Linked DNA regions of Canis lupus familiaris. The protein of the gene in region 3 interacts with the protein of the main gene of each other region in a biochemical or structural test. Links are inferred from orthologs where the notes say so. Each region holds a gene or a part of one and is shown on either strand. Other genes may lie near its edges.

Region 1 (9,543 bases), on a different chromosome or scaffold from region 3:
TGGACCTGGAAAGGGCATCATGCTAAGTGAAGTAAGTCAGATACAGAAAAACAAATACAGTATGACCCTTCGTACACAGAAAATTTTAACTATATATATATATGTATATGTGTATATACATAAAACAACAAGGTAAAGGCATACATACAAAGAACAGATTGGGGATTGCCAGAGGCAAGGGAGTGGAAAAATGGGAGAAATGAGTGAATTGTTCCGGTTTGGGTTTTTTTTTTAGTTTACATAAATTTAAGTTAAAAATTTAATTTAAAAAATAAACACAGAACACTGTAGAATAAATTAAGATATCTTAAAAATGAAAAAAATTAAAAACTACAATGAAATACCACTATACACACAACAGAATTGCTAAAATTTTAAAAACCAAGTGCAAATAAATAAATAAATAAATAAACAAACAAACAAACAAACAAACCAAGTGCAGACCAAGTAGTGAAGCCCCTGGAACTCTTTACTACACTCCTGGTAGAAATGTTAAATGGTACAACCACCTGGGAAAACAGTTTGGCTGTTTCTTTAAAAATTAAACATGAACTTCACAGGTGACCCATTTACCCAAGAGAAATGGAAGTATATGTCCACAGAAAGACATGCACACCAATGTTCCTGCAGGTTTATTTGTATTCACCAAGAACTAGAAACCACCCATATAATGCGGACTGAGCATACAACAATGGGACATTACTTGGGAGGATGGGAGGCTACAGAATTACGCTGGATGAAAGAATCCTGACAAAAGACAAAACAATCTATGGTGACTCAAAGCAGATCCGCTGGTCGTTGCCTGGGACCTGGGGGCACAGGAAGGCACAGGAGAGGTGGATTCTAGAAGCAGGAGACTTCACGGGGCAGTGGTTACACCCATCCTCCTGATTGTGGCAATAGCTTCATGGGCGTGTGCATCCACCAAAACTCATCAAACTGTACACTTAAAGTATATTAACCTATTGAATGTCAATTATACCTTAACAAAACTGCTTATTAAAAAAAAGAAAAAAAAAAAGATGGCTGGGGGAAAAAAAGACACCACAAAGACCGAAAAGGCAAAGCACAAACAGGGATAAAATACTTATATATAGCCAACAATGGATTAGGGATCTATAAAGGAATAGACAACATACAAAGAACACCTACAAATCAGTAAAAGAAAGACAAACCACTCTATGGACATTTGGTACAAGACTCAAACAGATTTCACAAAGGAAAAAATATAAACCACCTATAAACGTGACAGGATGCTCAACTTCAATCACAACACACAAAACCACGAGGAACCGCACCTCACCCACCAGGCTGGTAAAAAAAGACCCTGCCCAACACCAAGGTGTCCGTGAACATTCAATGCGCTGTGCCCGGGGCAACTGCCCAGGGAACCGGTCTGGCATCATCCAGGAAGGCGGATCACGGGAAGGCTCCGTGACTGTATCACACTCCGGATACAGACCTTGCATAAAGTGCTCAGAGAAAGTTGTGAGAACACACCTGTGTGAGTCCATCTCAATTATTAAGTACAACAGGCAAAAATACACAGTATGTTGCTTAGAAGTATACTAAGCAGTAAGAAGACAGAGAAGAGGAAAGGAACCAGTCAGCAAATTTCAGCAGCAGTAACTTGCAGGGCTGGAGGGAAGGAGCCCGAAGATTTCTAAGTTAACTGCTAGTGCTGATTCCTAAGTTGGGTGCCGCGGGTACAGATGTCCATTCACTTTTCATCTGAACATACACATTTACTCTTACACAATTCCCTTCATAATAAAGAGTTGTTATGAGAAGCTCAAAAGACATATTGCCAGGAAAGAGGACAGTAACCAGAAGGACACGTGGAGTCCGGGGGTTCAGAGGAGGTTTCTCCAGGGGGGAGCAGGGCATGAGTGCTGGGGGTGCTACCCAGGGGAGACATGCGCCCATGACCCGGCCAGTCGGGGTGGCAGTGCAGGGGACCGATGAACCGAGAGGCAGGGGTCATCGCCAGGACTTTGGCTCTTGCCGCCACGAAGGGTCCTGGGCAGAGGGACGTGACCTGATGAGCTTTAATGGCATCTTCTGCTGTGCTGAGGACAGAACAAAGTGGGACAAGAGCAGAAGCAGAAAACCTGTCAGGACCGTCCCGGCAGTCATCCAGGCCACAGGTGAGTGGCATGGACCGTGTGGGTCTCCAGGACGACAGGTGACATGTGAATATAAAACAAAAGGAGTCATCAAGGGCAAAAGGGCAAATCTAAGGTTTCGAGCCCAGAAAACCGGAGGGCTGTGGCGGCCAGCAACTGAGACACAGACACTGTGGGAGCAGCACTGCGAAGGGAGGAGCACGTGCCCAGTTCTGCACGTTCACGTCCGAGGCTACTCCACATGGCACGAGGCTGCGTGTGTCCCCCAGAATCTGTGCGTGGGACCTTGTCTGCGCATGCACTCCAGGAAAAATGGGGTCACGCTGGAGTGGGGTGAGTCCTACCACTGACTGGCACCTCCCTCGGGGAAGACGGCCAAGCCACGACGACGGCTGAGATGGGAGTTACGCGGCCCCCAGCCAAGGAACAGCAGGAACTCCTGGCAACCACCAGGAGCTGCAAGAGGCCAGGATGGATTCTTCCCGAAAGCCCCCAGGGTGTGGCCGTGCCAACAGGCGACCTGGACCTGGGCCTTCGGGCCTCCAGACAGAGAGACAACAAACTTCTGTTTTGTTAAGCCACTCGGCCTGCGCTCCTTTGTTAAAGGAGACCCCCCCAAACCAATACCTAACTCTATTTTTGACACTTCTCGGAAAGGCTGGATGCTGTGTGACAAGAAAACATCAAGAAAAGATCCCATTTAAAATACATAAGTTCTGGGGCGCCTGGGTGGCTCAAACGTTGAGTGTCTGCCTTTGGCTCGGGTCATGATCTCTGGGTCCTGGGATCGAGTCCCAGTCACGCTCCCTGCTCAGGGGAGAGTCTGCTTCTCCCTCTGCCTCCGCTCCTGTGCTCGCTCACTTTCTCTAACAAATATATAAAATATTTAAAAAATAAAATAAAATATATGGGTTTAGGACAGCTAGATGGTCCAGTCAGTTAACTGTCCAACTCTTGATCTCAGTTCAGGTCTTGATCACAGGGTCAAAAGTTCAAGCCCCACACTGAGTTCCATGCTGGATGTGGAGCCTACTTTAAAATAAATTAAAAAAAAAAAAAAAAATCTCGGTTCTTTTTCTAACACCTTTTTCCTGGTCCTAAGAACGTAGGCAAATCATTTTGCCTTTAATTTTTTTTTTTTTTTGTCATTTTGCCTTTATTACTCAATTTCCTGCAAAATGTGAAAAACCAGAGGCTGAACAGAATCCTAGCCAAGGTTCCACCACCACCCCTAAAATTCTACAGTTCTGGGACTATTCCCCAACATGAAAAATATCCCTGAACCCTATCCCAATAATCTACTAAAGTACATTCAGGGATGCCTGGGGGGCTCAGTGGTTGAGCGTCTGCCTTCAGCTCAGGGGTGTGACCCTACAGTCCTGGGATCGAGTCCCACGTCGGGCTCCCGGTACATGGAGCCTGCTTCTCCCTCTGCCTGTGTCTCTGCCTCTCCCTCTTTTTCTCATGAATAAATAAAGAAACCCCATTTCACAGAGAGATTGTTTCTATAAAATCCACATTTACAATGGATATGTCACCCGTACGGTAAGACCAACTAGAGGCTAATTCACAAAAGAGGAGGATCATGAAATGGAATTTTATGTTTCTGAGATCCAGCAACAACAGAACTCCCCTCAGAGACACAGTTTCCATTCTCTACTGCTGTCACCACAAACTCAACGCTTAAAACACCACCCACTGCTGACCTTACAGTCTCCATATGTCGGAAGAGGGAGGCAGTTCTGTGCCTCGAGTCTTACAAGGCAATCAAGGCAGGTGTCCCCCCAAACTCATTCAGGCTCCAGGCAGAACCCGGGTCCCTGCCGCTGTGGGACGGAGGCTCCAGGATCCCGAGCGCCAGCACCCAGCAGTCAGTCCCAGGTGCCGCGGGCCACCCCGTGCTTCTGTTCCTGGCCATGTGTGCATCCTCCCAGCCAGCCACAGCAGGGGGGCCTCCCCTCCCGCCTCACCTCTCCTGCCTTCCTCCAGGGTCTCAGCTCCTCCTGTGATTTTGGGGTCAGACCCCAACGATCCAGGCTAACCTCCCTCCCTGTAAGTCAGCTCTCCTGGAACCTGTGCGTTACGCCTTTCACGGCAGCGCTGGATTTGCGTCTGATGGGATGAGTAGGGGCCAGCAAGCCGAGGGGGCATCTTCAGGGCTGTGCCTTCCACAGATACCCCAGAATGCCACACAAACACGTGTAAAAACGCGCACGTCACAGTTCTGCGATACAGACGTGGAAGTCAGCTATTCTCTGCGTCTTATTGCTGCAAACCTACAGCAGGGTCGGACTCACAGACGAGGTTTTTGTGGATACGGTACAAGGAAAAGCACTCTTTGCTGACGCGAACATCCTCAGGAAACGCAGCTGGACAAGGCAGAGTCTGCGCCCGAGCGGCGGCCCGGACCCGATTCCGTCCCCACAGACGGGAGAGAGTAAGGCCTGGCCGCAGAGTGGAGGCCGCCGGGCTGCACGACTACACCCAGCAGGCGGCAGGGCCGGCAGGTGCCCCCTGCGCTGCGCCCCCCGGCCCGTGTCCCGCGGCCACCCCGCCCCTGCCCACCCTGGCCCCGCATCTCCTGCACGTGCCCCTGTCCCTGCCGCAGAGGGCACTGGGCCGGGCAGAAGGTAACCAAGCATCTCTTCTAAGGGCCCCCCCCCATCCCTGCTCCCGCCGGACGCGAGGCTCCCCGAGCCGGGCCGTCTGCTGAGGGACTGAGCTCCGCGCACATTTACCAGCCACTTTAGTGTGTTTCCGACTTCCCTCTGCAAGTCTCCCCGCCGGGCCGGCGCCGCGGTAAGAGCAGCAGCCTGCAGGGCCTCCGCCCGGGGGAGCCGGGGCCGCTGGAGGCCAGGGGGAGGGCCAGGGGGAGGGCCACGGGGAGGGCCCGGCCGCACGAGCAGCTCGGAGCCACCCGCAGGCCCGCGGCAGCCCCGCCGGCAGCTCCTCCGAGGGAACGTGCCGCTGCGAAGCGGCAGGACACGGGCCGTCCTGGGCTCTGGTCCTGGGCTCCGGCCTCTCCCTTCGCGTCCCCAAACATCCCCACACGCTACACGCTGCTGGCTCGGGAGGCACCGAGCGGTCCCGAGCTCGGCCCGGGGAGGGGGAGGGGGAGGGGGAGGGGGAGGGGGCGGGCCTCACCCCAACGCGGCCCCATCAGGCGGGGCCCCTCTGACCTGTCCCCTCGGGCGCGTCACAATGCGCGGCTCCCGTTTCTCTCGAGCAGTTTCGGCTCCACCTTCCCGGCGGCCCCCCCGCCCCCGCCCCCGGCCGCCCTGTCCTCCCGCCGACGGGGGCGGAGGGTCTCGAGGCGGCCCCCCCGCCGCAGCCCCAGCCCCAGCCCCAGCCCCAGCCCGGGGCCAACCCCCCGGCCCCCTCCGCCCCGGGGCCTGACCCAGGGCTTCGCGACGCGGCCGGGACACGGGGCCGCCGGGACCCCAGAGAGGACCAGGCCGGGGGGGCAGAGGGTCACGGGGTCAGGGGTGAGGGCAGGGACCAGGCGCGGGGATGGGGGCGGGAGGTCGGGAGGGGCCGGGGCCGGGGCGCGGGCGGGCGGCGGGGGCGGGGGCGGGGGGCGCGCACTCACGCTTGTACTCGGCCATCAGCCTCTTGAGCGCCGTCCCCGCCATCGTCCGGGCGACAGCCGAGCGGTCCGCCGGCCCCGAGCGCGCTCGCTCCCGCCCGCCGCAGGGCCGCTTCCGGGTCGCCGCGGGCGCAGAAGCCCTTCCGGGGCGCGGGACGCGGGGGCGCCTGCGCGGTGGGGCGGGCGGCGGGGGGCTGCGCAGGCGCGGTGGCCGCGACGTCCCGCCCGCGGGGTCCCCGAGGCAGCGGCTCCCCGGCGCCGGGTCCCTGCGGCTGAGCCGCGGGCGGGGACGCGGGCCCGGGACGGAGGGTCACGCGGGCCCCGGGGCGGGGGAGGGCCGCGGAGGACGGGGTCGGCCGCCTGTTACATCACGGGGGGGCGGGGGCCAGGGAGGGACACGGAGGCCGGGGCGGGGGCGGCGGGGCGGATCGCGTCTGTGCTGCACGTTCTTGGATCACGTCCCCGTGGGGAGGGGCTCAGCGGTCGGCGCCGCCTCCGGCCCAGGGCGTGACCCCGGGTCCCGGGTCCCGGGATCGAGGCCCGCGTCGGCCCTGCGTGGGGCCTGCGCCTCCCCGCGCCTCCCCGCGCCTGGGTCTCGGCGTCTCTCTCTCCCCCCTCCCTGTGTCTCTCCCGAATAAGTAAATGACCATGTTAAGAGGCTGAAGACCCGCTGGTCGGTTCCCACAGGCTCCCCTGGCGTGTCGGCCGGGCCCGGCGCAGTCAAGGCAGGAGGCGCGGGGAGCAGCTGCCGGACGTCCCTGGGCCTCGGGCCGGACCCGCCCGCGGACCGCGAAGGCCCCTCCCGCCGGCCTGGCCCCGCAGGACCCGATTGCCCAGACCCCCGCGTCCTCAGAGAGGTGCAAAGCGGCAAAGGCCTGCTCGTGCCTGCTCGTGCCTGCTCGTGCCTGCTCGTGCTCACCTGCTGCCCGGGTGAGGGGAGGGCCTGGGTCCCGTCGCTACCCCATCGGGCTCCCTGCCCCTCCGGCTTGTCCGCTGTGGGGAGCAGTGGGCCGCGGGTCCCCTAGTGATATGGTGGCTCCGTCCCCACTGACCCCGGGGATCTGGGATCTGGGACGCGCCGGTGCTTCTCAGAACCCGGGTCTTCCTGACCTCAAAGGGAGTGACCCCAGGTCGCGCTCTGCGGCTCCGCCACGCAAACACCTGTGCACCGTTAGAGGCGTCCTCAGCTCCAGACCGTCCGCGCGCCGCCTCGGCCTCCATACCCTCCCACAGAATCCACCGTGTGATGTTCTGTAGGATCCATTGCGTCCTTGGTTTATTGTCATCACGGGCCTCCTGCAACCTGAAAACCCGTCCCGAGGGCAAGGAGCGGCCCCTGCTCGTGGATGCAGCTGCAGTAGGCGGCCGGCAGGCGGCATCGCTGAACTGGGCCAAATTTAAGAAGGGGGGGGGGGACTCAGGCCTTCAGCCCAGGGCGTGACCCAGAGGCCGGGGTGGAGCCCACGTCCCTCCCCGCAGGGAGCCTGCTTCTCCCTCTGCCTGTGTCTCTGCCTCTCTCTGTGTGTCTCAGGAATAAATGAACAAAATCTTAAAAAACAAAAAACAATGCAAAGCAGCCTCCGAGGTCTGTGTCTGTCAGGGCCGAGGCCTAGAGAACCGTGGTCCAGCACTGACTTCACAGAAGTGAGTGGGATGCAGTGCACAAAGGAAAAGAGTCTTTAGGTTCAAACAACAAAAACCTTGAGAAGCCCTGACTAACGTGCACGTTCACGCGCCCCACAACGCGCCCCCCATACCCGGGACCCCAGGAGAGGCGAGGTCGTGATGCCCGGTGGGCGCAGCCAAGGCCGGGGCACTGCAGCCGATGCAGCCGTGGGCAGGAAACCCAGGCCTGGCACGGGCGACCTGCGGCGTGCAGAGGGTTCAGGGACATACCCACTCCTCCCCACCCGGGCTCAGGATGCCAGTGGCCGCCCCAGTGGCTGGCCCGGACACGGAACGGGGACAGTCCACCCCCTCGGCCACACGCAGCGTGTAATCCAAGCCCAGAGACAGAATAGCAAACTATATTTACTGTTTACAGTAGCAAAGGACAACAAATCATGTACAAATTGGTGAATAAACAGAACAGAGCCAGCCGACCTCCCACCCTCGCCCGGACAGCAGAACACAAAGGAAACGCAAAGGCCTTCGGCAAGATTTCAGGCAGGTGAGGGACGATGTCGCAGTCCTGCTCGGGGACTAGGACCAGCAGCAGGTGGTGCGCACGCAGCAGCAGGAGAAGCAGCCGTGTAACTGGTACAGAACGAAATCACGTCCTAAAGCGTACACCCCACACCTACTGGGAAAGCAGCGCAGCCCACGTCCACGAGGGCAACGCCAAGTCACCGCTGCAGGGGCTCCACCGCCAACACACTCTGAGGCAGGTCTTTCACGCAAAAACAGCTGCAAACTCAGCAGTGCTGAATCCAGATTTTGTAGAGAGACCTTAACTGCCCAGAGGAGAAACGGGCAGCCACGGCCCCAGGGCCCAGTGAGATGCGTGGGGGTGGCTTCCTTCTCCATCGGGGCCAAGGGTCTGAAAGACCTGCTTATTTTCCTTTTCACCTTTTAAAAAGCCTTCCAGTATTTTCCCTCTGACTTTACTATTTCCTGAAATGCAGTATTTACCATTTCAAATACCTGTGCCTGTATGACATCGTGAGATTGTTTCCCATCCCCAAACCGGCCCCAAAACTCGTCCAACAGCAGCAGCCCCTCTGTGGTGCCATGAGGTCTCCACTGGAATAAACAGTGGGGTGGCGGTGGGGGTGGGGGGGTCAACACCTGGGGTCAGATCCCCATCTAGACTAAAAGTGGACATTCAGACCACACATTTGGGGGCAAAAGTTAGAGGGAGGAAAAAACAAAAATGAAAGCAAACGAACCCCAAAACCCTCACCACTCCTTTCCCCCCAACAAAGACAAGTGTGACTGGCCTGACTTCAGCTGTGGGCGCCCTCCCCCCGCAGAGTTCTGAGTTGCCCTTGCGAAACGTCAGAGAGGAAAGTAATTCTGGTGACTGTCCTCGGGTTTCCGCAGACTCCTCTGTGATTGGCATGGTCACGGGTTCACTATTCCACAGCAGGTGCGAGCACGAGGACACGTGGGGACGGTCCCTGCAGAGGCGGCACCCTTAGGGCCAGCCGCTCTCCCGCGCGCCTCCTGTCTGCTGCTGGAACACATCGATGGTGTCCTCGTCCTCCATCTCCAGCTGGCGGGGGTGCGGCAGCGAGAGAGGGAGAGCAGTTAGTTTCCTGGGATCCCAGAACGCGCCACGCTCACCTGGACGACTCTGCAGGTTCACTGCGCTGTCCCCTCCCTCTGGCCCCCCCCCCCCCCCCCCCCCCCCCCCGGGAACACCATCCCCACCACACCTGTCCTCAGGTGCACCGTGCCGGGACAGCGCTCGGCTGGGATTTCCAACAAGCCCGTTCACCCACCAAGATGCTCACAGAACTCACAAAAGGATATTCGGAGCTAAGGACTCGGATAGAAAAGCAGCCTCTGGGGCGCCTGCCTGGCTCAGTCTTAAAGAATGAGACTCGTGAGCTCGGGGTCATGAGTTCAAGCCCCATGCTATGTATACAGATGACTTAAAAAATAATGAAACCTTTAGAAAGAAAAAATGAGTCTTATTTAAAAACAAGCATCCGGGATCCCTGGGTGGCACAGCAGTTTGGTGCCTGCCTTTGGCCCGGGGTGTGATCCTGGAGACCCGGGATCGAATCCCACGTCAGGCTCCCGGTGCATGGAGCCTGCTTCTCCCTCTGCCCCCTCTCTCTCTCTCTCTCTCTGTGACTATTATAAATAAATAAAAGTTTAAAAAAA
Region 2 (9,543 bases), on a different chromosome or scaffold from region 3:
GGATACTGCTTGTAAAGAGCCTGTCACATACTGATGCACAGCAAATGTCAGCTATTATTGAGAAAGATTGGGCAGCCTGGGTGGCTCAGCAATTTAGCGCCGCCTTCCGCCCAGGCCATGATCCTGGAGTCCCCAGGATCGAGTCCTACGTCGGGCTCCCTGCATGGAGCCTGCTTCTCCCTCTGCCTGTGTCTCTGCCTCTCCCTCTCTGTTTCTCAGGAAACATAATTTCATAAATAAGTGAAATCTTTAAAAAAGAGAGAGAGAGAGAAAGATTGTGGCTCCTTAAGAGCACTATTTGACTTCCATGTGTTAACATACATAGAATGAAAAAAAAATTGGTCTCCTAAAAAAAGGCATTATATAAGGTGAGAATTAACCACTCTAAAGCAAATACCCCTACCTCTCATTTATCTTTCAAGATTTCCATATCATTTCTCTTTGGAAGAAAGAATTCTTCAAGAGAGCCCTCTCTTGAAGAGCACCAGGTGATGCCATACAGACTGAAGGCGTGTGTCCCGTTTTCTTTACCACCAGAGGGCACCAATCAGTCAAATCATTGACCTGTCATTATAAAACACTATGAGAAAGCTCTAGGAAGCTGTTTCTGCCACTCATTCTTCTGACAAATATATTTTGAATACCTATAACATGCCAAACATTGTAGTAGCTTGTATATATAAAAAAAGAGCTTGTATAAACAAGACCTGCCAACCTTATGGAATTTATAATCTTGAGCACCTACTATGTGTTGGAGAGGTTCTATTAGACATGGGGGTGGAGGGTGAGGTTCAACTTGTTGTTGTTGTTACTGATTGTTTTCCTGCTCTTGGCTGTAAGCCCATGAGAACAATTACTTAGTGTCTACTTTGGGTCAAACAATGTACTGGTTGCTGTGGATCCATGGCATGAATAAGACACAGTTGCACCGTACTAACAAACAATGTCTTACCTGCTAGGATGAAAAGGCATGAGACATTAGATTCTAGAGTTCCTCTGAGGTGAGAATGAAGAACCTTAAGTACACATCTTATTAACTAACACATTAGGCTATGAGCCTTCTAGACGGGTATATGTTTATTAGCCAACCACCTTAGGTTATTAGGGCCATAGTCATTGCAGATATTTACTATGAGCAGCTTCTGGTCTAGCTGACAGGTACCTGTTCCAGTGGATTGGGCTAAGAATTTACCATCTTCTGGGTCAGGGTGGGACTGTGATGAGTTTATGAGGGTGAAATGCTTTGAAGATGAACTTTCTGCCTATTTGTCTACTCACATCCTTGTTATTAAAGGTGTCAACATCATCTCCCACATTTCCAGGTCAGCAATCTTCTTGTCCCTAAATTGAATGGTGGAGGAAGGGGAGTCAGAACCATAGAGGGGGTGGTAGTCAGAATATACCTATGCCTTAAATTTTTTTTCTTTCTTTAAAGTTCCTATTTATGGATCATTTATCATGTGCTAGTCATTGTGTCAAATGCTGTAAACAGATGATCTCATTTAATATTTACAATAGTTTAAGTTGGGTATAATTAACCCTTTGTTACAGAAGCTGATGAATAAGGAATGGATAAGTGGTAGAGCCAGGGTTGGAACTTAGAATCTTTTTGATCTCAAAATTCTAAATGTGTGGAACTCTCATAGTATCCTGACTTTACTAGGAATTGTTTCAGCAGTTATCATAGGACATGCCTTCCCAAGAGAACGAACGGGCTATCCTAAAATCATGAGGATTTAAGACTGTCTCCGTATCTCACTTAAGTTATGATTATCTTAAAAGTCCCTCAGTTCCTAGTTGGACCGTCTAGCTGAAAGGATCTATAGGGGGTCAAAGTTCAATCACAATATTTTCCTTTTAAGATTTTATTTTATTTTTTATTTTTATTTATGTATGATAGTCACAGAGAGAGAGAGAGAGAGGCAGAGACCCAGGCAGAGGGAGAAGCAGGCTCCATGCACCGGGAGCCCGACGTGGGATTCGATCCCGGGTCTCCAGGATCGCGCCCTGGGCCAAAGGCAGGCGCCAAACCGCTGTGCCACCCAGGGATCCCTAAGATTTTATTTTTAAGTAATCGCTACAACAAGGCGGGTCTTGAACTCACAATTCCGAGATCAAGGGTCACATGCTCCACCAAGTGAGCCAGCCAGGTACCTAACCCCCCCCCCCCATAGTACTTCATTTTACAAATAACTGAGGGATAGCTAGAGCACTTGCCCCAAATCACAGAGAAGCGTCAGAAACCCAGGTTTAGTCTGCATTATTACTTCTCTCTTTATTTCCCGCAACTTCCTTTCCGTAGTCATGAAGAGAAGTAGCAGCGGCCTATCTGCCTTCCCCATTTCTCGGATGGGAATCGGCTCCCCCCCCCCCCCCCCCCCCCCCCCCCCCCCCCCCCCCCGGGGTGGCACACTGCCCTCCAAGGACACATGGGCTTGATATGTAAACAAGATATGTCGGGACACTTGTCCCCACCGATAAGACTTACTAGCTCAGCGTATTCTTGGCAAGGACCTATTAAGTGCAGGGCCGGGGCAAGGACTTTGTGTCACGGGGAGAGGCCTGCAGAGGACCAGGGTTCGACGGAGGATGGCTGCCGAAGCCTGTGGCTACACATGGGGAGAGGAAAAGGGAAGGCGCCGACAGCTCTAGGGCCAGTGGTCCCGTTCCCCGGAGCTCCCTAGGAACCGCGGCGCCCAGCGGCACAACTGTCATTTTTGGGCCAAGGGCATCCCCCGCGACTACCCTCGGCCCTCACAGCAGCTTGGCCCTTTAAGGGCGGGGGACACGCGTCGGCGTCACAAAGCGCCGCCACCGCGCCGGGCGGCAGGGAGGAGGCGGGGAAGTGAGAGGAGGAGGGCGGGGGAGGGAGCGGAGGGAGAGGAGGGCGGCGGAGGGAGGGGCGTGCGCACGCGCGTCTGGCCGCCCGCCTCCGAGAGCCGCCCTCCCTCCCGGCGCGCGCCCCTCCTCCCGCTCTCCCTCCCTCCTTCTTCTTGGCTCCGTCGCTCCCGCGGCGCGAGGCGCTCTCGCTCTTCTCCTCCTCCTCCGTCGTCGCCCCTCCCCCCGCGCAGCCGTCGCCGCCGCCGCCGCCGCCGCCGCCGCCGCCGTCGCCGTCGCCGCCGCGAGACCCCAGCGCGCCGCGCTCCCCCCGCCCTCCGGCCCCGCGCGCCCTTCGGCCCCGGCAGCCCCTGAGGAGAACGAGAGGGCGAGCGAGCGCGGCGCTCCCGGGCCGGCTCGGCCCCCTCCCCTCACCATCGCCGGCCCTTCGCCGCTCTCCTCCGCTTCCACCCCCTCTCCCCCCCCCAGCCAAGTTGAGGCCCCCTCCGGGGGGGGGAGGCCCGGGACCGGGAGCGAATTCCCCTAACTCCCTCAGCCCCTCCCCCCACCTGGCCCGAGTGTGAGGAAAAAGGCCCGGCCCGCGTCGTGTGTGAGGAGGACCCGGGCCGGCCCACGGGCCGTCTGGGGCCTGGTCCGGCCCGCGGGGTGTGTGAAGACAGGGGCCCGGTGCGGCCCGGCGGAGGGCGAGCGCAGGGGAGGGGCCTCGTCCGGCCCGGCCGGTGCGAGAGGACTGGGGCTCCGGCCCGGCGCCGCCGCGATGGCCCAGCAGCAGATGACCAGCTCGCAGAAGGCCCTGATGCTCGAGCTGAAATCCCTGCAGGAGGAGCCGGTGGAAGGCTTCCGGATCACCCTGGTGGATGAGTCCGACCTCTACAACTGGGAGGTTGCCATCTTCGGACCCCCCAACACCCTCTACGAAGGCGGCTACTTCAAGGTACCCCTGCCCCCTCCCAGGCCATGCTTCCCCGGGCGGAGGCCTCCGCTCCCCGCCGCTTCCTGGGCCAAGAGTGAGCGCGAGTGTGTATAGGGGGCTCCTCACCTCGGCAGCCCCCTCCCCCCATCCGTGGAAGCAGGAAGGCCTTGCTCACCAAGTGCCTTTTCTTTGTCATGGGGGCGGGGGCTGGAGGCCAGACTGCACCGGGAAATAGGAAAGCCTCTCTGGCTAGGGTAGTGGCTACCGGAGGAGGAGGGCTGTCTTTGTTTTGTTTTCCCAGCTGAGGAGGGTGTGTGGGAAAGAAAGGTGGTCTTTCCCCTCTCGTATGCCCATCAGAACCGTCACCGCGCCGGCTGGAACTGCCCCAGAGGGCAGAGTGACCTGCACTTATTGGATTGAACCTTTCTTTTTTTGGGGGGTGAGGGTGGGGGAAGGGTATTAACCTGTCATCACAAAGGCTCTCTAGTGACCTGACACTTTGAGGATGTGATGGGCTTCTTGCGTGGTGGTAGTTCCAACTTCGCATTCCAGTGGGCGGTAATGAATAGGACCCTAGGGGTGGTAAACAAGGATGCCTGCGTTTTCATCCCATTATCTACTTGAGGGAACGCTAATTTAGCCTCCTTTCTGTTCTCTTTCTCTGTTTACTTCAGTGGTATTTCAAAATGCCCTTTGTCCTCACCCTGCCACCAACTTTACTGGCTCCCCCCCCCCCCCCAATGTAGAAATATCTGCAGACCGTGGAACGTGTTCTGTAGGGAGGTTGCGAGTTTCCCACCTCAGGGAGACAGAATTGAAACGTTTTTATTCAGGTGGTTAGCTCTAGCAAATGGGGTGGTCTCACAGATGAAAAGTATCATCTGAGGTGAGTTGGTTTCACTGAGAGGGACTGATCCTTAGTCCCCCTCCTGATTTTGGAACAGTGATTGTTCCTGAATCCAGTGGTTTTCTTTTTTTTTTTTTTATTCCCCCCCCCTTTTTTTAAATTCTAAGATAACTTGGCAATATTGAGTTTGTTTTTGTTTTTACTTTACCAATTTTGTAGGGACAAGTCATAGATTGAAGGTAGAATGCTTTAAGTGGTGGAGGCAGAGACAGGAAATAAGTGCTAGGGAATCCATTTAATTTTATTTCCAAAATTAAGTAAAATAGAGCAGTGAGTCAATCTTTGTTTTGAAGGGAGGGGCTATCTTGGCATAAGTTTTAAATGAATATCTTAGTCACGTAGTCATGATGTACATTTTTAGGAACTACCCAATTACTTTTTTCTATCCTTCTAAAGGTAGAGAACCTTCAGTGTCAGCTTTGAAATTGGGTCAACTTTGTAAAAATGTGAAGAATTGACGGGGGTGGGGGTTGATGTTTAATAGTCACGCTTGTGGTAGTCTGTGAATACCTAGTAAAAGCACATTTTTAGAATATTGTGTAAGAGCAGTACTTTTACTAACTATGTGCTTAATCTCTTGTGGTCACCATAAACTATACCTTTTAGATGCAGCTACTAAGGCAAAGTTATTAGTGACAAAGTGAAGAAGATATTAATGTGTCTACTGGCTAACTTAAGTGACAAAGTTTAATTCCCGTAAAGTATTAGTTGGGACAATTAATAGTCAAGGTGAATGGGTACTAATTAGAATACTTCCACCTCACTGTTTTTTTAAAAAAAAAAGCAGTGTCAAAGGAATTAATAGTTGCAAATTGTAATATTTTTGCTTAAGTAGCAGGAAAAGGATTGTGGAGAATCCTCTGTGTTTGAAATAAGTACTATGGGAAGAGGATTCCCTACTATGGCAAACATTGATTTCAGTTAAATGTTTTGTAATTTCTGTCGTATTAAGAAAAGATGGTTGAATTTCAATGTATATTTTAGATTTCTTAATCTTTTTACCTTTAATTGTGACATTTAAAAACATGAAAATTCTTAGGATTTACTGTTGTATAAAAATTCTGTCATTTTGTTTTATTCCTTGTTAGATGGCTTTTTATCCCAAAAGTCTTTTGTTAGAAAAAGGCAAATTTATGGTCATGAGTAGTTAACACTGGTGGTAGGTCTAAAACCATTGTTTTTTTTTATTTCACTGCTTTTGTCATAAAACAAGGCTTTTAGTGTGTTCCACTACAGCTGCAGTTAAAAGTTGGCACAGACCTTTTTCCACCACTGTTCTACCATATCAAATGATAGTTTTTGAATATTTAGTATAATTTATTTTCAAGTTAAATTGTTTCCTCTGTTTTGCATAATAGTTCCTGAAGGCAGTGGGACTGAATTTTTCATGTTACTCCTTTAACTTTCACATATTAATAGGTTTCTTACTGATCTTTCTTTACATGAAATCCTTGGCTCCAGGCTGTTTTAACTATGGCATCCGTTGTGGTAGAGATTGGTGAGACCTGTATTTCACAAATTTTTTTCAGTTCATCATAACCTTTGTTTTTTAAGTATTTCAAGTCTGTGTTTCTTAGCTATGGGGCTAAGATGGGTAGCATGTATGACGGGTAAAGGTAGTTTCTTGTGCCTGTTTTTCTGGATATCATAAAATCTTTTTTTAAAAATTTTTTTTTATAAAATCTTTTTTTGGCTTTGGTTTTTGTCCAGTTTCTTGATCTTTTGGACTTGCTGAGTGAAACATCTTTGTTGCTTCTACTTTTCCTCTAGGGGTCAATTGTTACAAAACGCAAAGTATGAGATGACTTGGAATAGAGAACACCTCTGAATTTAATTTTGCTACTGTGGAGCGAGTTGGAATTTTATTATGTTATTGGACGAATGAATTGTTGATCAAGTGAGCAGTTAATGATAACTTTTAACAAATTCACTCCATTCATTTAAAAAGCACTATCTTGGGCAGCCCAGGTGCCTCAGCGGTTTAGCGCCGCCTTCAGCCCAGGGTGTGATCCTGGAGACCTGGGATCTAGTCCCACGTCGGGCTCCCTGGATGGAGCCTGCTTCTCCCTCTGCCTGTGTCTCTACCTCTCTCTCTGTGTCTCTCATGAATACATAAATAAAATCTTTTTTTTTTTTTTTAAAGCACTATCTTGGGGATCCCTGGGTGGCTCAGCGGTTTAGCGAGCCTGCTTCTCCCTCTGCCTGCTTCTCTGCCTCTCTCCGTGTCTATCATGAATAAATAAATAAAATATAAAAAAAAAATAAAAAGCACTATCTTTTCAAATAACTCCTGCTAATGATTATAACAGTATGGCTGCTTAGGTATAGAAGAGAATCTCTTTGGGAGGTTCTTTGGAACTCCTCCTGCATTATTTATCTGAAAGCGTGGTAGGGTGGAGTCTAGAGATCAGAAAAAAGAGAGTGCTTAGGGGTTCGTGGCTGGCACAGTCGGTAGAGCATGTGACTCTTGATTTCAGAGTGGTGAGTTCGAGGCCCATGTTGGGTGGAGAGATTACTTTGAAAGAAAAAGTGTCTTTTTCATAATGTTCATAGTATAAAAGTTTAAATGATACAGAAAACTTAAAATATTGCAGTTAACTTTTTGTAGTTTTTGTTTTTATTCAATATATATATATTTTTAAGATTTTATTTATATATTCATGAAAGATAGAGAGGCGGAGACACAAGCAGAGAGAGAAGCAGACTCCATGCAGGGAGCCTGATGTGGGACTCCATCCCGGAACCGTGGAATCACACCCTGGGCTGGGCGGAAGGCAGGCACTAACCGCTGAGCCACCCAGCTGTCCCTTTATTCAATAATTGTATTGAGAAAGTGAAATAAATATAGGTTCTTCCATTTTTGGAAAACTTCAAACTGATAATTTAGAAAAGTATTTGTCATATACTAAAAGTTTTCCATAATCAGCTTCTTTAATAGAAATCAAAATGTAAGTCTGATAAAGAAACTTTTCAGGGGCGCCTGGGTGGCTCGGTCGGTTAAGTGCCTTCAGCTCAGGTCATAATCCCAGGGTCCTGGGATCAAATCTTCTGCTCAGTGGGGAGTCTGTTTCTCCCTCTTCCCTCCCCGCTGCTTGAGCTCTTTCTCTTGCTCACTCAGATAAATAAAATCTTTTAAAAAAACCATTTAATAATTTGTAAAACTAACAGATACATATTATTTTCATTTATTCTGGAATAAATAAATCTATTTCTTGCCCCCTCTCAAAAAACAAAAACAAAACCCTGCGAAATTTAACATTTGGGCCTGGCAGTGTCCTTAATATTATGACATACTGTGTTTTGTGACTCTTAATTCCTAATATGTAGTTGAAACAATTATTTTATGAAAGTGTTTCTTAGGGCAGCCCCGGTGGCCCTGCGGTTTGGCCCCGCCTTCGGCACAGGGTGTGATCCTGGAGACCCGGATCCTGTCCCACGTCGGGCTCCCTGCGTGGAGCCTGCTTCTCCCTCTGCCTGTGTCTCTGCCTCTCTGTGTCTGTCATGAATAAATAAATAAAATCTTAAAAAAAAAAAAAAAAAAAGAAAAGAAAGTGATTCTTAGAGGCACCTGAGTGGCTCAGTGGTTGAGCATCTGCCTTTGGCTCAGATTGTGATCCCAGGGTCCTGGGATCAAGTACTGCATCAGGCTCCCCTCTGCCTCTCTGTGTGTCTCATGAATAAATAAATAAAATCTTTTTAAAAAAAGTAATTCTTAGTCTTTTTATTATGTGGATCTTTTAAATTTAAATTTTATTTTATTTTATATTTTATATTTTATATTTTATATTTTATATTTTATATTTTATTTTATTTTATTTTATTTTATTTTATTTTATTTTATTTTATAGAGAGCACAAGCAGGGGGAGCAGCAAGCAGAGGGAGAGGGAGAAGCTGGCTCTAGGGAGCCTGACGCCTGGGCTCCATCCCAGCACTCTGGGATCATGACCTGAGCCAAAACCAAGAGACAGATGCTTAACTGACTGAGCCACCCAGACACCCCTATATGGATCCTTTTGAGAAACAGTTTTCTTTGGGAAAACATTGGTACATGTGAACTAGTTTGTATACCTTTTCAGAGGGTTTACTGACCCTCTGACAGGTTAAGAATTCCTGTTTTATGTGAATAAAAGACACCTGAGTTACATGGTGTAACTTTTCCAGTGCTGCTCTCTCTCTGCAAACAGGAGTGTGGTCAACGACTGTACAAAGACATTGTGTACTCTGCTAGGGGAAGTATATTAGTATACATTTAGTACATTATTGATAACGACATTATTGAAAATTAGGACAACATTAAGTATCCAACAAAAGATAAGTTATGGTAATTTCATGTAATGGAAAATGTTAACATTAATGCTTGTGATTCAGTGTTACCTTTTTTTTTTTTAAAGATTTTTTTTAAAATTTATTTATGATAGTCACAGAGAGAGAGAGAGAGGCAGAGACATAGGCAGAGGGAGAAGCAGGCTCCATGCACTAGGAGCCCGATGTGGGATTCGATCCCGGGTCTCCAGGATCGCGCCCTGGGCCAAAGGCAGGCGCTAAACCGCTGCGCCACCCAGGGATCCCTCAGTGTTACCTTTTAAAAATCTTAAATTTTCTTTTTTTTTTTTAAGATCCTATTTATTCATGAGAGACACACACAAAGAGAGGCAGAGACACAGGCTGAGAGAAGCAGGCTCCATGCAGGAAGCCTGATGTGGGACTCCATCCCGGGACTCCAGGATCACACCCTGAACCAAAGGCAGATGCTCAACTGCTGAGCCACCCAGGCGTCCCTAAAAATGATTTTTAAAATATTTATTTGACAGAGAACACAAGCAGGGGGAGCAGCAGGCAGTGGGACAGGGAGAAGCAGGCTCCTCATGGAGCAGGGAGCCTGAT
Region 3 (9,527 bases):
TCATACCCCTACAAAGGCAGAGGCTTAATGCATGTGATACATAAAGCTTGGGGACTTTTAAATTTCAATACAAGAGCATTACCACCAAAGGACTGCCAAGGAAGCAATGGCTTCATCTCAGAAACGGACAGATTTCACTTTTTTTTTTTTTAAGATTTTATTTATTTATTCATGAGACACACACACACACAGACGGGCAGAGACACACGCAGAGGGAGAAGCAGGCTCCATGCAGGGAGCCCGATGTGGGACTCGATCCCGGGTCTCCAGGATTAGGCCCTGGGCTGACAGCGGCACTAAACCACTGAGCTACCTGGGCTGCCCAGATTTCACTTTAAAAGAGGGATATGGACCTATGGTTTAGGAAGAGGCTAATTTCTCACGGGCAAAGGCTGGGTCTAAGCCCTTCTGGATGCCCTTTTCATTTGGAACAAGATTATCTGAGGTAATGGAGAAAACCTAGAAATATTGTGCATTTCAGCAACTCTTTAGAACAACAAAGAAATGGGGCAATGTACAATAAATACAAAGCTAGACTAGGGCATGTAGTATCAATTTTGACTCAAAACAGGAAGTCTTCAGACCAAACATTCTCAATTGGGCACAACCATAATCACTCTTATTTATTTATAGCTATGTATATAATTATTCACTTAATGCCAGGCCAGAATTTATTAGAAAATGGCCATTGCTAAATCAAGATTCTTATTTTCAGCTTTAACAAAAAGTCTTTTTATAAGAATCAGAATCCATTTATTTTTTTTTTTTTATAAATTTTTTTAAAATTTTTATTTATTTATGATAGTCACAGAGAGAGAGAGAGGCAGAGACACAGGCAGAGGGAGAAGCAGGCTCCATGCACCGGGAGCCCGATGTGGGATTCGATCCCGGGTCTCCAGGATCGCGCCCTGGGCCAAAGGCAGGCGCCAAACCGCTGCGCCACCCAGGGATCCCAGAATCCATTTATTTTTTTAAAGGAAGACAAACCCAGTTGTGGCAACCAGACTTCTCTTTAGTGTCTGTAATAAACAAAAGGTTATGTTTCTTAAAGTAAAAACTTGATCTCAGTCATTGTTTTATCCTGGTGCCTAGCAAAATGCCCAGGATGTGAGTATTCATTGCATGAATAAAAGACAGGACTCTTAATTATAAAAAACAGACTCTTAATTATAGAGAACAATCTGATGGCTACCAGACGGGTGGTGGGTAGGGGGATGGGTTAAATAGGTGATGGAGATTAAGGAGTACACTTGTCATGATGAGCACCGGGTGATATATGGAAACGTTGAGTTACTATATTGTACACCTGAAACTAATATTATGGTGTATGTTAACTGGAATTAAAACCTTAAGAAATAAAAATAATAAACTGTTTTATCAATTAAAACTAAATAAATGAATGACTTGAAAATGCTTTTATAATTTCTTGTTGTAAAAGTTCAATATTCTGGGGTGTCTGGCTGGCTCAGTCAGCAGAGTATCAGACCCTCAGGCTCAGGGTTGTGGGTTCAAGCCCTACGTTGGGGCCTACTTAAAGAAAAAAAAGAGTTCAATTATTCTACTTCACCTAACATTTAAAATATATGATAAAACAGACAGGAGTCTAACTGAAGACCTACATTGATCCCTCAAGAGTTCAACTCTAAGAGAGAGTATCAATAGCCTTTATCTGTGGTGCTCCTCCCAAAAAGCACATTCTCTTGCATCCAGAGAGACACAAAATAACTTAAATATAGAAGCAGGAAAAAAAACCCAAGCAGGGTTATTTGAAATCATTAACTATTTACAGAAGAGAGACCAAGAAAATAAAATTTGCTTTGGGCACAACTCCTTACGAAAATGTAAAGCAACAAAATTGGCAAGCATGTAATCAAAGACCCCACCCAAACACATTTAAAACTGTGCATGTGTTTTTCTGTGATGGGTTTCTTCTATCTATATTAAACATCATGGTAGCTGCTGTCTGCTTTGACTGTTGTGTGAAAAGGTAAACAGGGTCAAAACTCAAAGAAACAAAGGGCAATAAACTATCAATACATGATATTTGATTGGGGCTTTCCAAGTTGCAATGATCACAGACTATTCTTCTATTTTGTATTTTAATTATTCACTGACAAGTATTTAGCAAGAACCTATTATGTACTAGACACTATGCTGGGAGTAGAGCAGTTAAAAACATAGATATGATTGAGAACCAACTAAATTAAATACTACCAAGGAAAGTATAGACGGTCTTGGGAATATTTAATGGAACCATCATAGTCTGTGCGTATTTAAGTATGGCCAGGGAACACGTCTCTGAGCTAGTTCAAGGTGAGATCTAAAGATCAACTACGGATTAGTTCCACATCGTCCAATAAAGTAACCACTAGCCACATGTGGCTGTGAGCACTTGAAATGTGGCTAGTCTGAACTGAGATGCGCTTTAAGTGTAAGTACACTTCAAATAGTACCAAAAACAGAATGTAAAATAGTTCACTTTAAAATATTTACATGTTGAAATGAAATTTTCTTGGATATAGTAGGATAAATAAAATAGAAATCATCTGTTTCTTTTTATTTTGATGTGGGTACCAGAAAAATTTAAATTATGTATGTACTTGCATTTGTGGCTCATATTTAGATTGGACAGTAGTGGGTCAGGCAAAGGTAGTGGGGAGAAGGGGAATATTCCAGGCAAAGGGAACAGGGCATATTAAAGGCTCTAAAAAAGAGCACGGACACTTCGAGAATGGAAAGAAAGCCAAAGAAACTACCAGAGTGAGCAGGAGAGTGGTGCAAGATGAAGCTGGAGAGGCAGGTGAGTAATTTTCAAAGTAAGTGCCTGTAAATGCAACTCTACAAAGCTGAAATTTCTTCATCTCATATCTGATCTCTGTAACAAACCATTTCAGTACCTGGAAGAAAAAGTAACCTCAGCTGTTCCTGGTGTGATCAACATACTTGCCCCTATTACTATAAGGACACGGAGTCCACGGATAGCTATAATCAAACCCACCATATACTGGCTACTATATGGGATGGAATCTGTAGATTTAAATGAAACTTCTTTACTGCAATTAGTTGTCTATTTAGATGCTGGCACCGATGTCCTCTTAACTTAGGGGCTAACACTGAAATTCCTTACTTCTTTGGCTTCTTTTCTTTATAAATCTTGCCAAGCAAAAACTAGCTTTGGTAGAATATTTTAGCTCAAAGTTTATTTTTTTTTTTTCCTTTCACTATTTTTGCCTTTGAGTCTGGGTATGAGATGGGAAATATAGAGGAATAATCAACAGTGCCTCTGTGTCCACAACTCATTCTAAATGTGTGCTTGCCATCTTTAGACTGAGTAGATTTATTCTGAGAGATGAGTATGTCTCCAGGATATCATTAAATCTACTCTATTTCAAACATACCAACGGACTAGAGGCAGAAGACACCAAGTGTTCTGACTATGCTTTATATCTCCTTGGGAAGAAATTTGGTCACATCAGAATAGCCACAATCTCTGTAACCTTCTCAACTTCCTCCCATCCACCTCCAGTTACTTACAAAGATCCATAATGTGGTTCCTGCAGATGGCACAGTTATCAACCACAATATCCCAGGCCCAGAGAGCTACTGCATTCCACTGCAAAGAGAAAAAGGGGGAACAATGCACTCTCCTTGTAACACAGGCGTACACACACTCTAGGATTTCATGCTGCAGCTACAGTTATCATCTCTTTGGCCACAAGGACCACCAGACACAGGAGCTTGGGGATATTACCTTACTCTTATTCATTTTATCAGAGGGCAACAGCAGACTACAAGTGTGCTCACCCATTTTCCAAAAGGCTGAGTATATGAACATAAATTAATGAATCCTCTTTATTTTCTCCTACAGCTTACAATAATTTAGTCAACTGTATCAATGTAAGAAAACCGGGAATAATTTTTGAGAGCCTGTTTTAGGCTTAATAAGCACAAATTTGAATTTCTGCAAAGGTAAATATACGCTCTTCAAGGCAGCTGTGAAGGTATGAGTGGGGAGGTGAAAGCTGGGGACAGAATGAACTAAGATGATGATTGGATCATAAAATGGGTAATCGTGGGATAAGCTGGATAACTAATTATCCAGTGTCAGTACAGAGCAAGGTCATCACTTAAATCTCACAAGATTATTTCACAACAAATTCTAGAATTCACTAAAATTTTGGTTAGTTCCTTCCATCAAATAAACTGGTGTTCTAAACTTTTACAAGCTCAGGCTCCTATTTAGTTCAGATAATTCCACTTAAGAGTTCATTTAAAAGCGGTATTTAAGTAATTCAACCTTTCTGGCTTCTGCAATTATAAATATCCCCAAACTCCCTTTTCATCCACCAATTTGGTGCCACTTCCAAAACCTTCATCTCTTTCGAACGCAATTCCCCGTCTAGTTAAACTTCTTTAGCACTTTCCGACAGCTTCAACTTGAACGGGGGAAAAAAAAAAAAAAACACAACAAAACCCTATTTCTATTCTTCAATATGGCTGCTGGCTGTAACTGAGCATGCAGTGCCCACAATGAAACACCAAAAAAGCACTAGGAGGGGGGAATATTGTCAGTGTTTAGCCAGATGTTCCAGGAATAACATTTCCCCTATTTGAGTCTTCATTTTGAACAGATTTATTTTATATCATGTGAGAATCGGCACTTTCCTCCCAAACTGTTGGCAAACCACTATAAAGCAGTTCATGCAAAAAGACACGTTCCACATTTTTGCTTTCCCACAGTCACCAGGTCGTTCGCCACTAGTACTCAACCCTTCCTAAATGACACAAGGTTTGGGCTCGCATTTTCTTTTTAACAAATTCCACCATGCTTTCCCCCCCCCCCCCCCCTTTTCCTTTTTGGACAGAGGGATTCTGGAAACGAGCACAGGACTGTGGAGGCTGTGTGACAAACCAACAGACCTCTCAGAAGAGCCAAGAGTTGTTACACTGGAGACACTTTAACTCGGCGGGGGCGAGGACTAGAGAGAGGGCTGAGGGAGGCCTCGAGGAGGCGAGGACCAGGCTGGGGTCCCTCAGAGTCAGAGGGACCCCGAGCTTCGGGAAGGGGCGGGGCAAGGAGATCACCAGCCGGGCTCCTCAAAGGCCTCCACTGCGGTAGGAACTCAGGTCCCGGCTTTCGCCGCACTGCCCCCATCCTCCACCCACCGCAGCGCTCCGACTCCCCCTTCCATCCACCCCACCCACTCCTCCCCACCCCTCCACCACTCCAGTGACAGCTCAGGCGCTTGGCTCCCTCAGCCAAGTCTCAACCCCGCGCATCTCAACAAGCGCCTCTGTGATTGGCCCCTCAGACTCCTAGTGAAACCAATACTGCCATTGGTAGTGGGCCCCAGTCACGCCGATCAACTCTAAGACCCGCCCCCCAGCTTCCTTTCCTGGTACCCGGTCCCAGGAACGCCCTGAAATGAAGCCCTTTCCTCCGCGCCTCGGTCATCCTCGGGCCTGCCAGCCAGATCCGCGCCTCTCTAGCCTCTCTGAGGAAGGCGCTGGCGAGACCCAACCTTTTTCACTTCAAAGCGCTTCTTGCCCGCGCCGCTGTTGGTGCCGCTCGGGGTATCCACATCCATCGCTGCCGCCATTTTGGAAACACACGGTCCGTCGTCCGGCCACTGCGCCTGCGCACCAGCGCACGCCTCGCTCCCCCTCCCGGCCCGGCACCTCCTCTCGCACCCCGCCCCTTACTGGCGCGCGAGGGGCAGGTGGGGGCGGAGCACGTGGCCACGCCTCTTAAAGGCGCTGGCGCAGGTCCCTCCCTCCTCCTTCCTGCCGCCGGCCCCCGAGTCGGCTGGGGAAGAGGCGGTGGCCGGGGCGGGGCCGGGCGGGGCCGAGCCGACGTGCTCGAACCGGGTGGAAACGCTCGAAAGACTAGTCTCCTCCCGCGGGAAGCCCCCGGCCGCGCTCCCTCGGCTGGGGCGGCGGCTGCTTCCTCCGCCTCGGCCGCGACCTGCCGCCCCGGCCCCGCCCCGCCTTCCCCGCTGCCGCACCGCTCCAGCGCCGGCGGGTCTTCCGCAGCGTTCCGCCCGGGGAGCGGCCAGGGCGGGCGCCCCGCCTCCTGCAGCCGAAACCGGAGACCCCGCAGTGTCGCGGGTCTCGGCTCGCTTCCGAGCCAGGCCCGACGTGCAGCCTCGCTGGGAAAGCCGGGCCCAGGCGCCGTTAGGTCCCTGATTCCGATTCGGGAAATGCTCGGGATTCGACAGGGAGCCGGGAGCTCCCCGAATGTCCTCTCCAGGGCCCAGCCGCGTAGGCATTCTCCCGTCCTGCCTCAACCTGCCCACCTGGAGCCTCGGGGATGCCGCCGCCCGCCCGCCCCAAACGCCATCCGTGCTAGAATGCCCTTTGGTTAAGGCGCAGGGTTTCAGTTTCACATACTCTTAACACACCTTTCCTGTTCCTCAGTTGGCCACCTAACTGTGGGGGTCCCCTCTCCCTGATCTCCATCCTCTTCCCGCTCCTTGCGCCGTGGGCACACTGCAGTCCTACTTGACTTTGTGTGAGGCGTTTGGCCATTGATTCTTACTGGTCGTTCCCAGCCAAAGCACCTGTACTTCATGTCTGCACCCGGAACCCCTTGTGGCTCTCTAACCCTGCAGAGGTATGACTCGGCTAGATCACTCCTAAATCTCGTATTGGCTTATTTGGAATCTCGTATTTTCTCTTGAAAGAAAATTGGAGCATAATGGAGTGTATGGACTCCACTGCCAAACCGGAAGAACTGCGATTTGTTTCCTTGCCTTAGTCATAAACAGGAACAACAAATCCATGAAAACACCACCAGGGCTTACACCAGACTTGGAAAGAGAAAAATTGTGTGAGACCTTAAAACGTTACAGGAACCCTACAAAGTTTTCCTTAGCCCAAATTTTGTTAGAGTGATAATTCCATGTTAAGATTCTTGTCATCTAATTGATTGTGTTCCCAAAGGCCCCTACGGGATACTAAAAACCCATAGTAAGTTAACGTATTAAGTGTATATTTAACCTTCATTAAACAAATTCATTGAGTATGTATGAGATCGTGTTATAAATTGGAGAGACACGGTGATGAACAAATTCCTGGTAGAGAAATAATACACAAGTAAGCAAATACATTGGGGAGGAAAAAAAACCATCCTCAGGTATCAATAAGTGCTATTAAGAAGACAAAAAGATATCATGAAATTGAAGGGAGAATTGTGTGTGATTAGGTAAGGTCTCTATGAGGAGTGACATTGCAGCTGAAGTCCTTACAAGGGCCTAAAAGATCCTGCATGATCTGTTACCCATTCATTTAATACATTGTCTTCATTTTTAGGAAATGGTACACATAATCTAACATGGTTTTTATTTACTTATTTATCAGGTTTATTGTCTTTTGTGTGTCCTCACCAAGAGGGGATTTTGTTGTTGTTGTTTTGTTTATTGGTAACAATACAGTGCCTTGTACAGGGCAGGGCTCAGCATGTGTTGAATGAACAAAGTTGAAGCTTATGGAGCAAGGAGATTGTGGTAAGAGGTGTCAGACAGACAGGCAGAGGCCAGATCAGGTAGGGATCTACAGATATTATGGGAAGGTGTTGGAGGGTTTAAACTAGGGGAAGGGACTAACAGTGACAAAAAAAAATTTTTTTTAAGTTTTTAAGCTTTGCGAGGAAGGGATTATAGGGATACAGGAGAGGAAGCAGCAACATTTGGCAAGTTGATGGCTTTGTATAGAGCTACAGTGGGGAGAAGTATGATCTTAGGGGCTGTTCCATTAAGCTATGAAAACCTCATGTACTGATCTCTCCTTTGGAGATTTGCCTTGGCGTGGTGATTGTCCATGATGTTCAGTACCCTGGACTCTACTGCATAAACCTAAGAAAACTTTTTGTAGATTTCATACAGATTCCCATCTTTCTTCATAATTTCACTCAGCTTACAATGTAATAGGTTGTAATTTTACTCTCATCCATCCACTCATTCAAATATTTCTAAAATATCTATAGAACCTGCTGTGTCAGGGATGCCTAGGTGGCTCAGTGGTTGAGCGTCTGCCTTCAGCTCAAGTTATGATCCTGGGGTTCTGGGATCGAGTCCCACATCAGGTTCCCCAGAGGGAGACTGCTTCTCCCTCTGCCTATGTCTCTGCCTCTCTCTCTGTGTGTCTCTCATGAATAAATAAATAAAATCTTAAAAAAAAAAAAAGAACCTGCTATGTCAATACCCCATGCTAATCTAGGTAAAAAGGCAATTGCTTTTAAAAGTATTTGCAAAAGGCCCCTTTCATCATTGCTCTTATGGTATACTAGCAGAGAGGCAAGTCAATTATTGATCATTCCAATGAATTTTAGGAAAAGGGAAGTTTGGGGTACTGTGAAACAGAAAGTGGGTCTGTGTGGGGGGGTGGGTAGTGAGGAAGTCTTCTTAGAGGAAAAGGTTTGAGATTGAAGCATAAGCTGGACAAAAAGCAGCAGATGCAGAAGGATGCTGGTAAATGCTTAAAAACCAGCTCTAAAAAAAACAACCAAACAAACAAGAAAGCTCTGATTTGTAGTGTGAACAGCCAGATTGCAAAATTCCTGAAAATTGCTCTTGTAAGCACTTGTAAGCTGATGTACCCTGGCTCCATCACACACACGCTGAGTGATATGGAAGAAAATGGCATTCCAGGTAGAACAGTGTGCAAAAGGGACTCAAAGCTGGAGAATGCACAATGCATCCGTAAAGAAGTCTGGAATGGCTGGAATATAAAGAGAGAGTGATATAAATAAGTCTGCAATGATGAGCAAGAGTCAATTGTTTGCATCTCTTTTCAGTTCTATATTTGACAATGTTATATTGGTAGCTTGGAATTAGCTATAATAGTAGTATTTACACCATGGAAATTGGCAAACACAGCATATCAGAGCTTTCCACTCCCCAATTTATTTATTAAATATTTACCACTGGTAGGGGCCAGGTCATGCTGAGTGGTTCAATGGACCCATGCAAAGGGTTCTGGTATTTACCTTTAGTGATGGGAAGCCTTTGAAGGATTTTAACCAGTGACTCACATGGTCAGATGTGCACTTTTAAAAAGTGCTAGAACATGGCCTAAAAGTACAGGAACTGGATCCCAAAGATTACAGGTGGAGAATTTTTGAAGTATGTTCATATCCATATGGAGATGAAAGAAGCACAACTGAAAGAACTCTGTACTAACAGTGACAATTGTGGATTGAACAGAAGTTCTTTTTTAAAGGGGTATTTTGAATATTATGATTCTGATTTTGGAGGAACTGTAGTGATTAGCAGTGGAAGGAATCATGTAAAATTCCTTAAATGAAAATATAATGACTTAAAAATTTTTTTAAAAAGTGTTAGGGCTTCGATGAAGTAGACATACCTTTCCCTATCCTTCTCTTTTAAGTACCACTGAAATCCCTGAACAAGTTATATTAAAAAAAAAAAAAAAAGACTCTGAGAGATGAAGAGGCAGATAAGTTAGAGACCTCAGGTTTTGAGGAGTGACATGGTAGTGAGTTTCCTGAGTGTTCTTTTTTACTTCAT

What was found. The genes of interacting proteins can lie anywhere in the genome.
Region 1: the proteins of RBX1 (region 3) and UBE2G2 form a complex in vitro, tested with the Homo sapiens proteins (3 studies listed by BioGRID). The link is inferred for Canis lupus familiaris from reciprocal best matches to the Homo sapiens genes RBX1 and UBE2G2.
Region 2: the proteins of RBX1 (region 3) and UBE2R2 form a complex in vitro, tested with the Homo sapiens proteins (10 studies listed by BioGRID). The link is inferred for Canis lupus familiaris from reciprocal best matches to the Homo sapiens genes RBX1 and UBE2R2.

The regions. Positions count from the first base shown.
Region 1 is NC_049252.1:38,404,831-38,414,373, forward strand, and holds the start of UBE2G2 (ubiquitin-conjugating enzyme E2 G2), read right to left. Parts: upstream 5,842-9,543; 5' UTR 5,759-5,841; coding exon 5,716-5,758; intron 5,302-5,715; exon of another isoform or gene 5,287-5,301; coding exon of another isoform or gene 5,271-5,286; intron 5,093-5,270; exon of another isoform or gene 4,865-5,092; intron 4,380-4,864; exon of another isoform or gene 4,097-4,379; intron 1-4,096. Other genes in the region: SUMO3 (small ubiquitin-related modifier 3), read right to left, coding at 8,849-8,926. UniProt on the Homo sapiens protein: Accepts ubiquitin from the E1 complex and catalyzes its covalent attachment to other proteins. In vitro catalyzes 'Lys-48'-linked polyubiquitination. Involved in endoplasmic reticulum-associated degradation (ERAD).
Region 2 is NC_049232.1:50,788,137-50,797,679, forward strand, and holds the start of UBE2R2 (ubiquitin-conjugating enzyme E2 R2), read left to right. Parts: upstream 1-3,198; 5' UTR 3,199-3,595; coding exon 3,596-3,772; intron 3,773-3,926; exon of another isoform or gene 3,927-4,190; intron 4,191-9,543. UniProt on the Homo sapiens protein: E2 ubiquitin-conjugating enzyme that accepts ubiquitin from an E1 ubiquitin-activating protein, and catalyzes its covalent attachment to other proteins by an E3 ubiquitin-protein ligase complex.
Region 3 is NC_049231.1:25,233,166-25,242,692, forward strand, and holds the start of RBX1 (E3 ubiquitin-protein ligase RBX1), read right to left. Parts: upstream 5,683-9,527; 5' UTR 5,601-5,682; coding exon 5,523-5,600; intron 3,614-5,522; coding exon 3,535-3,613; intron 1-3,534. UniProt on the Homo sapiens protein: E3 ubiquitin ligase component of multiple cullin-RING-based E3 ubiquitin-protein ligase (CRLs) complexes which mediate the ubiquitination and subsequent proteasomal degradation of target proteins, including proteins involved in cell cycle progression, signal transduction, transcription and transcription-coupled nucleotide excision repair.